Anolis sagrei: one gene and its partner. The protein of the gene in region 2 interacts with the protein of the main gene of each other region in a pairwise test. Links are inferred from orthologs where the notes say so. Each region holds a gene or a part of one and is shown on either strand. Other genes may lie near its edges.

Region 1 (7,714 bases), about 260 Mb from region 2:
TTCTCCAAGCTTTCCTCTCTTCTCAAAATGTGGCCAAAGTACTTCATCTTTTTCACAGACCTCCCAAAAACGTTTTCACACTCCTCCCAAAAACAGGAAGGTAGCCGTATGGCCATTTTCATTCTGCAGCTGAAAAATACAGCCAGATCCGGCCCATTGGCAGCAATAAGGAACTTACGAGGTTCCCCTTTCTGTTCCTGGGACACTTTCCTTTCTTCCCTTCAAGGAAGCCTGGGTTTCAGCAACGGAGTTAAGGAAGCAGACACAGTTTACGTAAGACACGTTATGGCATTCTTCTACTCCAACAGGCCAGGCTCATCGGAAAGCCCCGTGCAAGAAGGAGCATGCGGCAGCCTCTATGCCTGCAGAGTGCTTCCAAAAAGAAGAAGAAGAAGAAGAAGAAGAAGAAGAAGAAGAACAACAACAACAACAACTTTATTTTTCTACCCCGCCTCCATCTCTCCGAAGGGACTTGGGGCGGCTTACATGGGGCCCAAGCCCAAGCAAAATACAATTAAAAACAAAGCAAAAACAATTAAAACAGCGTAAAACAGTGTAAAACAACATAACAATAATAGCTAGCAACAACAATAACAGCAAACTAATTTTGGAGGGGAGTGGGAGGAAAGAACACTACATGAACTAGTTAAAGGATAAAAGGGGAGAAGAGCCTTGATTGGCTACCGCGTAGTCCCATTACGGATGGGAAACCATGACGGCTAGGCCCTTGCCGTTATGGCTATCCAACCAAGCTGAAGAATCCAGATTGGCCAAAGGAAAATGGCTAAAATGGATCCGCACACAAGCCTAGTATTTTTGTATGTGATAGGATGCCCTGCAATGCAAAAGTTTTCCCTATAAAGGATACAATTTTTCTGTTATCAGTTTCCGAAAAGCAAATTAATGCACTCTTTTTGGAAATCAAATTAGCATTCTTTTTGCATAATAATAATAATAATAATAATAATAATAATAATAAACAACGTTATTTTTAACCCACCCTCTCTCCCCAAAGGGACTCAGGGAGCTTCCATCAGGTAGAATGGGCATCTCATTGAAGTGAAGACAAAGAAGGCACATCACAACTTGAGTGGACTTACAACTGAGGAAATTAGTACTGAGCAGTTCCATAATGTACTTATCCAGTAAAGCAGCATTTCTCAACCTAGGGGTTGGGACCCCTGGAGGGGTTGTGAAGTGGGTGTCAGAGGGGTCAGCAAAGACCATCAGAACACACTGTATTTTCTGTTGGTCATGGGAGTTCTGTGTGGGAAGTTTGGCCCAATCCTATCAAAATGCTCTTTGACTGGAGGTGAACTATAAATCCCAGCAACAACAACTCCAAAATGTCAAGGTCTATTTTCCCCAAACTCCACCAGTGTTTATATTTGGGCATATTGAGTATTTGTGCCAAGTTTGGTCCAGATCCATCACTGTTTGAGTCCACAGCGCTCTCTGAATGTAGGTGAACTACAACTCCAAAACTCAAGGTCAATGCCCACCAAACCCTTCCAGTATTTTCTGTCATGGGAGTTCTGTGTACCAAGATTGGTTCTATTCCATCGTTGGTGGAGTTCAGAATGCTCTTTGATTGTAGGTGAACTATAAATCCCAGCAACTACAACTTCCAAATGACAAAATCATTTTTGGGCATATGAGATATTTGTGCCAAATTTGGTCCAGTGAATGAAAATGCATCCTGCATATCAGATACTTACACTGCATTTCATAACAGAAGCAAAATTACAGTTATGAAGTAGCAATTACAGTAATTTTATGGTTGGGGGTCACCACAACATGAGGAACTGTATTAAGGGGTCATGGCATTAGGAAGGTTGAGAAACACTGCAGTAAAGGGTCACTAAAATGTTCTTACATAGGGGAGCCAGTGGCATAGTCAACACGACAACCATCATCCTCTAATCCAGTGGTTCTCAACCTGGGGTCCCCAGATGTTTTTGGCTACAACTCCCAGAAATCCCAGCCAGTTTACCAGCTGTTAGGATTTCTGGGAGTTGAAGGCCAAAAACATCTGGGGACCCCAGGTTGAGAACCACTGTTCTAATCTGTTGTGGCCTCACTGTCATCTATTATATGAAACAAACAAGTGGTTTGTTGGACAAATAACTTTTCACGTGTTCATATTTGATGGGGGGAGGAGTTGTGATTTCCTGAATCCACAGAATAGACATGCCAATATTGTGAATTCATGGCTTAGAAATTACAGCACTTGTGTGAACTGACTGCTCCAGCAAAAAAGGACAGCTGCCAGTAAGAGAAATTAAACTCCTTGAGATCCAGGTTGTTCCTGCCCTAACCGAAGCTAACTCCTGCTCTCTAAGGCAAAGAAGAGGAGTAACCTTTGCCATCATTGAGATCCCTCCAAAACAGCAGAACTAGAACAGAAATAACACTTAATACAAAATGTAGACTTCTGGTTAATTTTCACCTCCTGTATGATTTCAACAGCTTTTGCCTGATGAAGAAGCAGCCAGTGGAGCTTTTAAAACTTAAATGATGTATTTTGTGTGTTGCGGTTTGCCATTAAGATATCACTCCTTTCTGGGTTTTATTCTATTTCATTTGCCTGACCAACATCACTGCTCCTAGGTGAAATTCTGACATTTGAAATGTTGTGAAATGCCTGTTCTGATACAGTCCAATACTCCCATCTAGTGGTTGAAATGAACAATGCAAAAGATACATGATTATCACCATTAATGATAATGATGATGATAAAAATATTTATATTGTGTCAGAAAAGACTTGAGAAACTGCAAGTCACTTCTGATGTGAGGGAATTGGCCGTCTGCAAGGACGTTGCCCAGGGGGTGCCCACAGTGTTACCATCCTGTGGGAGCATTCTCTCATGTCCCCACATGGGAAGCTGGAACTGACAGACAGGAGCTCATCCCATCTCGCAGATTCGAACCATCGATCTTCCATTCTTCAGGTCAGCATTTCCACCGGCACAATGGTTTACCCCACTGCACCACCGCAGCTCTGTAATAATAAAGAATAAGAATAATAACAAAACAAATAGTACATAAACAAAGTATGGATTATCGATGTTGCAATTTATTATTTATTTATTTCGCACATTTTTACCCCACCCTTCTCAACCCCCGAGGTGGTCCCAGTAGTGATCGGCACACTGGGTGCAGTGCCTAAAGACCTTGGCCTGCACTTAAACACAATCGGTGCTGACAAAATTACCATCTGCCAGCTGCGAAAGGCCACCCTACTGGGATCTGCACGCATTATTTGCCGATACATCACACAGTCCTAGACACTTGGGAAGGGTCCGACGTGTGATCCAATACAACAGTCAGCAGAGTGATCTTGTCTGCTGTGGACTCATCTTGTTGTGTTTCAAATAACAACAACAACAATGTATTGCATTGTTTTGAGTCCACAGCGCTCTCTGGATGTAGTTGAACTACAACTCCCAAATTCAAGGTCAACGCCTACCAAACCCTTCCAGTATTTTCTGTTTGTCGTGGGAATTCTATGTGCCAATTCCATCGTTGGTGGAGTTCAGAATGCTCTTTGATTGTAGGTGAACTATAAATCCCAGCAAATACAACTCCCAAATGCCGAGGCCTATTTTCCCCAAACTCCACCAGTGTTCACATTTGGGTATATTGAGTATTTTCTGTTGGTCATGTGAGTTCTGTGTGCCAAGTTTGGTTCTATTCCATCATTGGTGGAGTTCTGAATGCTCTTTGATGGTAGGTGAACTATAAATCCCAGCAAATACAACTCCCAAATTGCAAGTCTATTTTCCCCAAACTGCACCAGTGTTCACATTTGGGCATACTGAGTATTTGTGTCAAGTTTGGTCCAGATCCATCATTGTTTGAGTTCACAGTGCTCTCTGGAAGTACTTGAACTACAACTCCCAAACTCAAGGTCAATGCCCACCAAACCCTTCCAGTATTTATTGTTTGTCGTGGGAGTTTTGTTTGCCAAGTTTAGTTCTATTCCATTGTTGGTGGAGTTCAGAATGCTCTTTGATTGTAGGTGAACTATAAATCCCAGCAACTACAACTCCCAAATGTCAAGGTATATTTTCCCAAACTCCACCAGTGTTCACATTTGGGCATATTGAGTATTTTCTGTTGGTCATGAGAGTTCTGTGTACCAAGTTTGGTTCAATTCCATCATTGGTGGGGTTCAGAATGCTCTTTGATTGTAGGTGAACTATACATCCCAGCAAATACAACTGCTTTCCCCTTTTCAGTGCTTTTTGACATCAGCCTCCTTGCGCCGCCTATTGAGGAATGAAAGGAAGGCGAGAAATCAGCTTTGGACTTCAACTCCCAGAAATCCTAGTCATTAGTCAAAGCAGCTGAGGCTTCTGGGAGTTGAAGTCCTCAAAAGCTAGCGTTCGGGAATGGTTGGTGTTTGTGAGGCATACCAATAGCAACCCGCCTCCTACTGGGGAATGAAAGGAAGGCGTGAAATCAGCTTTGGACTTCAACTCCCAGAAATCCTAATCATTAGTCAAAGCAGCTGAGGCTTCTGGGAGTTGAAGTCCTCCAAAGCTAGCGTTCGGGAATGAGTCGTGCACCAATAGCAAGGGCCCCTTTCCCGGCGGCCCTTGCGGCTGGCCAAAGACATGGCGGCTCGGGCGGCGCGCGCCTCCCCCCTCCTCTCATTCTGATTGGACACAGGCTCCGTTTCCCGGCGGCCTCCGCAGCGGACGTCGACGTCACGGGCCCGAGCGGCGTCTGAGGGGAGCCCGGCAATGGCGGCCTCCTGCGCGGACATCTTGCGGAGGGAGTTCCCAGAACTCGACGGGGAGATGTTCGACTACGTGACCGGTGAGCCGAAGGCGGGTGGCTTGGGTTCCAGCCAAGGAATGCCGGGGAGGGGCGGTGGGATTGACCCCAAACTGCATTCATTCTACAATGGAGATCAGGCATGGGCAAACATGGGCCCTCCAGGCCTTTTGGACTCCAACTCCCACAATTCCTAACAGCCTACGGCTGTTAGGAATTGTGGGAGTTGGAATCCAAAAGGCCTGGAGGGCCCAAGTTTGCCAATACCTGCACTATAGAGCTCATAGAATAATATGAGTTAGAAGAGATATTGGGTGGCAACCTGTGCACTCCCCCTGAAATCACAGGACTCAGCGCAGACGCTTGATGCGCAGGTGTCGGCGGTGGCCAGGAAAATAAAACTTGTGCGCCAACTGCGACCTTACCTTGTGAAGTCTGACTTGACCATGGTGATCCATGCCTTAGTTACCTTTAGACTGACTACTGTAATGCACTCTACGTGGGACTACCCATGAAGACGGGCGGGAAACTACAACTTGTCCAACGTTCAGCAGACAGATTACTGCCTCTGGACCGTGCCCTGACCTACAAGAAGCACTGCCTGAACATCAAGCAAAAAGTGGGCGCTAGAAACAATATCATACGAAAGCTGACTGGCACAACCTGGGGGTCACAACCAGACACAGTGAAGACATCTGCCCTTGCGCTATGCCACTCTGCTGCTGAGTATGCATGCCCAGTGTGGAATACATCTCACCACACTAAAACAGTGGATGTGGCTCTGGATGAGACATGCCGCATTATCACGGGGTGTCTGCGCCCTACACCACTGGAGAAATTACACTGCTTAGCCAGTATTGCACCACCTGACATCCGCCGGGAAGTAGCAGCCAATAGTGAAAGGACCAAGGCAGAGACATCTCCATCTCATCCTCTGTATGGGTATCAGCCAGCCCGTCAACGACTTAAATCTACAAATAGTTTTCTAAGATCTACAGGGACACTCGCTGGAACACCTCAGCAAGCGAGAGTTCAAAAGTGGCAGGCTCAAACCCAGAACCTCAATCCGTGGGTGATATCAAATGAGAGACTCCCCCCTGGGCACACAGAGGACTTGGTGACTTTGGAAGGCGCTGAACAGACTGCGCTCTGGCACCACAAGATGCAGAGCCAACCTTCAGAAATGGGGCCACAAAGTGGAATCCTCGACATGCGAGTGTGGAGAGGAGAAAACCACTGACCACCTGCTGCAATGCAACCCGAGCCCTGCCACATGCACAATGGAGGACCTTCTTGCAGCAACACCAGAAGCACTCCAAGTGGCCAGATACTGGTCAAAAGACATTTAACCAACTACCAAACTCACAAACGTTGTATTTTACCTGTTTGTTTGCTTTGTTCTGTTAGAAATGTAATATAATTGACTGGTTGATCTGACACGACAAATAAATAGCAGCCAGATTAATAACTGGGGCGACTTACAGGGAGCGGTCAACCCTACTGTTTAAGGAGCTCCACTGGCTGCCGTTTATTTTCCGGTCCCAATTCAAGGTGCAGGTTATCACCTATAAAACCCCAAAACGGTTTGGGACCCGCCTACCTTCGTGTCCGTATCTCCCTCCATGAACCAACTCGGGCGCTCCGTTCTACCGTTCTTCTTTTGCCCCTGCCAATTTCACAAGCTTGCCTGGTAAGTACAAGGGAGATAGCTTTTTCCTCTGTGGCCCCCCTGACTCTGGAACTCACTACCTGGAGAAATTAGGAAAGCCCCTACCCTAGAAACCTTTAAAAAGAACCTTAAATCCTGCCTCTTCCGCTGCGCTTTTAATTAATAGGTTTACATTTTCACACTATTGCTTAGCCTCAACGTTTTGTAATTGGAGTACATGTCCCCCGCCCCCCTTGTGGGAAAGCTTGATTCCACAACCACTACTATAATGAGTCCTCCTCCGCAAATAATCTGTCTCTTTCTTATCTCGCCTGAGTTTTAATCAGTTTTAATCAATCTCTCTTTTAACCATTGCATGTAGCCCGCCCATTGTCATTGTGCCTATTGTAATTCTATATTGCTATGTTTTCACATGTTTTATGTAATTATGTTGTTGTTTATTGTTTGCGTTTTCGGTTTTATTTTATTGTAATTTGCTGTCTGGGCTTGGCCTCATGTGAGCCACTCCGAGTCCCCATTGGGGATATGGTGGCGGGCTATAAATAAAGATTATTATTATTATTATTATTATTATTAGAGATCCATGGGTCATCTAGTCCAGCCTCCTGCCATGCAAGAAAAACACAATCAAAACAATAATATATTAATAATAAACTTTATTTATTACCCACCACGCTCTCACCAAAGGGGACTCGGGGTGGCTAACATGAGGCCAAGCCCAAAAGTAATACAGAATAATTAGACAAAAAGCAATGGAGAAATACATCATAACATAAAATATATAAAATAACAAATAAATAGACAGTACAAAGTAGCATAGTAGAATCAAACACAAAGGGCGGTCCAAATGTATGAGATAAAATGTTAAAACACTGGGTGAAATGGGAATAAAAAAGTGTATTTGTAGGAGAGGAGCCCAAGAAGGAGGAGCAGTGGGTTTGGTCTTTATAAAGGACAGGGGGTGGTGTATCATGAGGACAACTGTAGGTGGGAACAAACAAATGGGTTGAATAGTCACTCTCCGAAGGCACATCGGAACAGCCAAGTTTTTAGATCTTTCTTAAAGACTGCTAAAGTAGGGGCTTGCCTGGTCTCCCCAGATAGTGAGTTCCAAAGGGGGGGGGGCACAGCAGAGAACGTCCTCTCCCCTGCCAAGAAGCAAGAATATTGCATTCAAATCACCCCTGACAGATGGCCATCCAGTCTCTGTTTTAAAGCTTCCAACGCTTCGAAATATGTGCAGTTGATCTTTGGAACGGCC
Region 2 (7,046 bases):
GGGAGAAGATGCAGATCAAGAATAGGGCTCCACAGTCACCTACGGACCTACCAGAACACTGATCCTGGAAGACTATCCTACTTGGCCAACGAGGGATCGCCTAAGTAAGTAAGTCCTCTGAAATAAAATTTACAGTACCTGGTATCCATTGGTGGTCTCCCATCCAAGTCTTAGCCAGGGGCGACCCTGCTTAGCATCCAAGATCGGGCAGAACCTTTATTGATTTTAGACCACGTGCTAAAGAAGAGTCAGCGGTGTGATGAAGCAGCAAATAATGCCAATGCAGTTCTAGGTTGCATCAACAGAACAATAGTTTCCAGCATTCAAACCATCAGAATTCTCTTTCTGACACAGATCCTCCAGACGACCTTTCCCCAATTTGGCACCTCCAGATGTTTTGGAGAACACATTCCATAACCCCAAGCTAGCTTTTCCAGATGTTTCTTAGGAACTTCTAAGCAAGCAACAGCATGCAAAATATATTGTAATGTGAGTCTTTTTGACACCCACGTTGCATCCTTGTTTTCCAATGTTGTATTATTGTTGTCCTCCTGGCATTTTTGGTAGGTGTTTTTACAACTGGAAGAGAATAAATCCCCACTGAATCTGTGGGAGGGTTTCGGCCTCCTCATAATAGAACCGGATTGCAACAGCTGGACTCCATTAGTAAAAGCTTGTCCCCGAGGAATGACCAAAACATGCTATCAAAATAGATGAGTCAGTAGGACCTTTACTCCTGTGTTTGAACTCATGATGAAATGAGAAATTAAGGTGTTCCATATCATTGTATACATGACTATCCTTCCAATGAGAGGCTAAAGTATAATATAATATATTGTAATATTATAATGTAATGCAATATATTACTACTGCTAATATCTCATAATTATATATTTATATTACATGTAATATTACTAATAATATTAAAATATAATGGTATATTATATATTACAATATAATGGAACTCTGTAAGACGAACGCTGAGCATGAGAATAGTTTTATTGATGTGTTATATACTGATTGTTTTTAACTGTGATAATTGTTTTAACTATGGTTTTATACGTTATGTGTATGTTGTGCAATCATTGAACTGTGCCTTTCTGTAAGCCGCCCCGAGTCCCCCCTCGGAGGTTGGGAAGGGCGGGGTAGAAGTACCTGAAATGAATAAATAATATAGTACAATATAGTAATATTGTACTATTCTTATGCTAATAATTATATAAAATTTACAGTACCTGGTATTCATTGGTGGTCTCCCATCCAAGTCTTAGCCAGGGGTGACCCTGCTTAGCATCCATCTCCAAAAGCAGTTATTCTACTCCCAACTCAAGAATGGAAAAAGGAACATTGAAGGACAGGAAAAGAGACTGAAACTGTGGCATAGACACCAAGAACTGGGAAGCCCTGGCCCTTGAGCGCTCTAACTGGAGGTCAGCTGTGACCAGCAGTGCTGCAGAATTCGAAGAGGCACGAATGGAGGGCGAAAGGGAGAAACGTGCCAAGAGAAATGCACATCATGCCAACCCTGACCAGGACCGCATTCCATTGGAAACCGATGTCCTCACTGCAGGAGAACATGTGGATCAAGAATAGGGCTCCACAGCCACCTACGGACTCACTCACATCTGGAAGATCATCATCCTCAAGCTATGAAAGGCGGTCCCGGTCCTAGTGTTGGCTTTGTCAGTGTATTTTATGTATGATGTATGTTTAAATATAATTTTATGTAGTAGCATGAAAATTGTAATAGAATTGTATTGCAAGAATGTATGTTTACAGAGAACGCTGTGAGAATGTGACCCTGAATTCTTGCTGTGTGCAAGTTTAGAGAGTGCCAGAGATAACCTCCCTTCCAGCTGCAGTTTAAGTGCCTATCTCTTTCGTTTTGTGTTCTCCACGTTTGTCTGCTGATGGCGTATGTTGTATTTTTGAACTGCTCAAGTAAACCTGAAACCTGCTTTTTACCAGAGACTCCAGAGTCCATTATTCAGTGCTTCCGCGATTATTTTGCCCACGTTAACAGGCTTGACACGCCTTGCTCTTGGCACGTTTCTCCCTTTCGCCCTCCATTCGTGCCTCTTCGAATTCTGCAGCACTGCTGGTCACAGCTGACCTCCAGTTAGAGCGCTAAAGGACCAGTTTTATATAGATGCCTGCACTGATTGACTTGGCAACTTCATTCATTCCATAGCACAACATCTGGCACTCTTCCCAAGGCAAAGAGACTGCCAGGCTGCCTTCTTCAGCATCCGGCCACTAGAGGGAGTAAGAGCATAGCTTTAGGATTTGCCAATAGGAGACAGGAGGGAAGAGCTAAGCCGACCGGGCATGCGCAGTGGCAGCTTTTATAGCCAGGCGGTGTGAAACGAGTGCATGCGCACACATCCTCCGCTCAAATTCTCCCCCTGCGCACGCACAGTTGTGTTTTGCCGTAATTAGGCGGCAGCGCCCCCTTTTGGCTGTCTCTCTCTTTCCTTATCCCTTGGCCACGCCCCCTTCTCTCGCTCTTGCCTCTTTCTGTCATTAATTCCAATTGTTCTCTATGAACCAAGCCCTCTGTTGCCACGCCCCCTTTGTAGCCCCGCCCCCTTTGTACTCTTCAAGTCCCGCCTACTAAAGGGGCGCGAAGATGCCTTGTCTCGCCATTTCAACGAGAATGGAGAAAACGGGCGTGGCCTATATGAGGGCGTGACCAAACCAGACCACACCCTCTTCTCACGCTTTCTTTAGGGACCTCTCCCTAAAGTGGGGAGGGTGGAGATTCCTTTGCGCATGCGCTCTTTTATTTACGAAGTGAGGGAAATGGTCAGTTCTTTGGCCACGCCCCTTCTCTCCCTTTCCCTCCTCGGAAGATTCTTCTGCGCACGCGCTATCTTTCGCATTATCTCCCTTACCCATTGAGGGAAACGGACAGACCCTTGGCCACGCCCCCTTCTAGGCCACGTCCCTTCCTTCCCTTTCCTTCTCCCTCCTCGGAAGATCCTTCTGCGCACGCGCACTCTTTCTCATTATCTCCCTTAGCAAGTGAGGGAAATCCAGTTCTTTGGTCACGCCCCCTTCTAAGCCACGCCCCTTCCCTTCCTTTACTTTCCCCTACTCGGAGATTCTGCTGCGCATGCGTACTCGTTCCCGCTTTTGACCACGCCCCTTTAAGGCCACGCCCCTTCTCTCCCTTTCCGCTCTTCGGGGATCTTTCTGCGCACGCGCATTCTTTCTCGCTATCTACCTTACCAAGTGAGAGAAACAGACAGGTCCACGCCTCCTTTAGGCCACGCCTTCCCTCTTTCTCGCTCTCTCTTTTACAAAGAGAAATGCAGCCCCCTTGGCCACGCCCCCTCTAAGGTCACGCCCCTTCTCTCCCTTTCCTCTCCTTTCTGCGCACGCGCACACTTTCTCGCTCTGTCCCTTATCAAGTGAGAGAAACAGACAGGTCCTTGGCCACGCCTCCTCTAAGGCCGCGCCCCTTCTCTCCCTTTCCTTTCTGCGCACGCGCACACTTTCTCGCTCTGTCCCTTACCAAGTGAGAGAAACAGACAGGTCCTTGACCACGCCCTCTTTAAGGCCACGCCCCTTCTCTCCCTTTCATGTCCTCGGAGAGCCTTTCCTTCTCTTTTACAAAGAGAAATGCAGCCCCCTTTAGGCCACGCCCCCTTTTAAGGCCACGCCCCTTCTCTCCCTTTCCTCTCCTCGGAGATCCTTCTGCGCACGCGCACTCTTTCCCGCTATCTCCCTTACTAAGTGAAGAAAATGGACAATTCCTTGGCCACGCCCCTTCTTTCTTGGCCACGCCCATTCCGTTTGGGTCACGCCCCCTTTCACCTTTTGTCTTGTCCGGCTCCCATTCCTTCCAGCCCTTCTTCGGCCACGCCCCCTTTCCCCTCCAACAGCCACGCCCCCTTTTCCAACTCCCTGTCGACCGCTAGGTGGCGCGAGCTTCTCACACGCGCGCGCCGTCCCTTCCCTTCCCTCCCTCCCTCCCAATTTGGCCACGCCCCCTGCACTCCCGGCCACGCCCCCTCCTCATCCTCGCGCCGCCCCTCCCACCGCTCGCTTCGGCTGCTGCTGCTGCAGAAGGAGAAGAAGAAGGAGAAGAAGGACCGCGTCTGGCGTCTCCTTCTCTTTGCCGCTCTTCTTATTACTACTGCCGCCGCCGTCCAGGGCGGGGAAGGGATTGATGTGGAGGCCCAGAGCGGCCCCGCCGCCGCCGCCATGCAGCCCCCGCCGAGGAAGGTGAGCCCAGAGAGAGAGAGGGAGGGAGAGAGGCGCCTCACGACGGAGGGGGGCTTCAGAGAGAGGGAGGGAGGGAGGCCATGATGGGGAGCCTGAGGTGAAAAGGAATGCCTGCCTGAGGAGGAAAGGGGCGGCAAGGGATGGGGAAGGGGCCTGGCCAGGGAGAGAGTGGAGGGCTGCCAAGGTCGCCTCGGGAGGGAGGGAGGGAAAGGAGGTGGGGGCATCCCCATTATTCATTAATTAATTCATTATTATTACTATTATTATTATGAGGAGGCCCTATTCCTAGAGCAATCATAAGGTATCGTTATTGGCTGACAAGGTGTCACAAGAAGAAGAGGTGGTGGCAGCAGCAGGTGTATTGTTATCACTATTGGCTGACAAGGCAGAATACTATTATTATTATAATATATTATTAGTAGTATTGGCTGACAAGGCAGCATACTACTACTATATTATTATTATTATTGGCTGACAAGGCAGCATACTACTATTATAATATTATATTATTACTATTGTCTGACAAGGCGGCATACTATTATTATAATAATATATTATTATTATTAATGGCTGACAAGGCAGTATACTACTATATTATTATTATTGTTGTTATTATTATTATTATTGGCTGATAAGGCAGCATGCTACTATTATAATATATTATATTATTACTATTATATTATTACTATTGTCCGACAATGGGGCATGCTATTATTATAATTTATTATTATTATTATTGGCTGACAAGGCAGCATACTATTATATTATTATTAGCTGATAAGACACCATACTACTATTATAATATTATATTATATTATTACTATTATATTATTACTATTGGCTGACAAGGCGGCATGCTATTATTATTATATTATTATTATTATTATTATTATTATTATTGGTTACAAGGTGGTATACTACTGCTATATTATTATTCTTGTTATTGGCTGATAAGGCAGCATACTACTATTATAATATTATATTATTACTATTGTCTGACAAGGGGACATGCTATTACTATAATATATTATTATTATTATTGTTATTATTATTGGCTGACAAAGCAGCATACTCTTATTATATTATATTATTATTGGCTGATAAGGCGGTATACTATTATATTGTTATTATTGGCTGATAAGGCAGCATACTACTATTATTATATTATATTATTACTATTATATTATTACTATTGTCTGACAATGGGGCATGCTATTATTATAATTTATTATTATTATTCTTATTATTGGCTGACAAGGCAGCATGCTATTATTACAATACATTATTATTATTATTATTATTATTGGCTGATAAGGCACCATACTATTATATTATTATTATTGGCTGATAAGGCAGCGTACTACTATTATAATATTATATTATTAGTATTGGCTGACAAAGCAGCATTCTAATATAATAGTAATACATGATTATTACTACTATTGGCTGACAAAGCAGAATATATTATTGTTGTTATTGGCTGACAAGGCAGCATACTATTATTATAATATATTATTAGTATTATTGGCTGACAAGGCAGCATACTATTATATTATTATTATTATTATTGGCTGATAAGGCAGCATACTACTATTATAATATTATATTATTACTATTGTCTGACAAGGGGACATGCTATTACTATAAAATATTATTATTGTTATTATTGGCTGACAAGGCAGCATACTATTATATTATTATTATTGGCTGATAAGGCAGCATACTATTATAACAATATATTATTAGTATTATTGGCTGATAAGGCAGCTTACTATTATATTATTATTATTGGCTGACAAGGCAGCATACTACTATTATAATATATTATTACTATTGGCTGATAAGGCGGCATACTATTATTATAATATTGTATTATTATTGGCGGACAAGATAGCATACTATTATTATACTATTATTATTTTTGTCTGACAAGGCGGCATACAATGATAGTATTATTGTCTGACAAGGCAACATACTATTATTATAATATTATATTATTACTATTGTCTGACAAGGTGGCATACTATTATTATTATTACCTGACAAGGTAGCATCCTATATTATTATTATTATTATTATTATTATTATTGCTGTTATTGGTTGACAAGGTGGCATAGAAAAGAAGGAGGTGGCTGCCATATGGGAGCAGAGGTATGATGGAACTGACCAGGTAAAGTGTAAAGGAGAAGGACACACACCTAGCTGAAAGGTGCCAGAGGCTTCATAGAGTTGTGGAGTGAATCAGTGAGGATATCTTTTGGAGAAGGGGCTCTTTTGTGTGCCTTGGCTTCTTGTGAGCATAAGGATATGCCACCGCTGCCCGTATCTGTGGTATTAAGACAGGTGCTGCAAGGTTTGCTTCTCTGGAAGGGCAGTTGAGACGGAAAAGGCACCAGAACAGGACTTGTAATCCCTCGAGGAGGGGGCTGGCAGGTAAATTGCATGGTCTGATAGAAGAAACACTCGAGTCAAAAGGGAGCCGGATTGCGACAGGTTGCAGTCAGGTGGAAAAGGAGATAGTGCTGAAGAGAGAGGCCACAGGAGGAGAAAAGGTGCTGAAGATGCCAAAGAAAGAGAAAGGCATGCTGCAAAGGTTTTGTCAGAATGAGGAGACATTTCTGTTTAGGATTTTTAACTGCACTGAAGCTGTTGGAGGCACTGGCAGGCTGAAGGTGACATGGGGCTACGCAGCAGTGCTTTAGAGATTTGGAAATTGGGTTTGTCAAATGGAAGAGTGTTTAGAGGCAGGCTGCAGCAAGATACAGCTCACCTTCACATATTCACAGATTCAGTCATAGAATTGTAGAGGTGGGAGA

The links.
Region 1: the proteins of FCHSD2 (region 2) and ABCF3 interact in binary tests that used the Homo sapiens proteins (3 or more experiments, as listed by UniProt). The two-hybrid records come from large-scale screens. The link is inferred for Anolis sagrei from reciprocal best matches to the Homo sapiens genes FCHSD2 and ABCF3.

The regions. Positions count from the first base shown.
Region 1 is NC_090023.1:263,135,009-263,142,722, reverse strand, and holds the start of ABCF3 (ATP-binding cassette sub-family F member 3), read left to right. Parts: upstream 1-4,693; 5' UTR 4,694-4,750; coding exon 4,751-4,826; intron 4,827-7,714.
Region 2 is NC_090023.1:6,963,032-6,970,077, forward strand, and holds the start of FCHSD2 (F-BAR and double SH3 domains protein 2), read left to right. Parts: upstream 1-4,042; 5' UTR 4,043-4,209; coding exon 4,210-4,230; intron 4,231-7,046. UniProt on the Homo sapiens protein: Adapter protein that plays a role in endocytosis via clathrin-coated pits. Contributes to the internalization of cell surface receptors, such as integrin ITGB1 and transferrin receptor.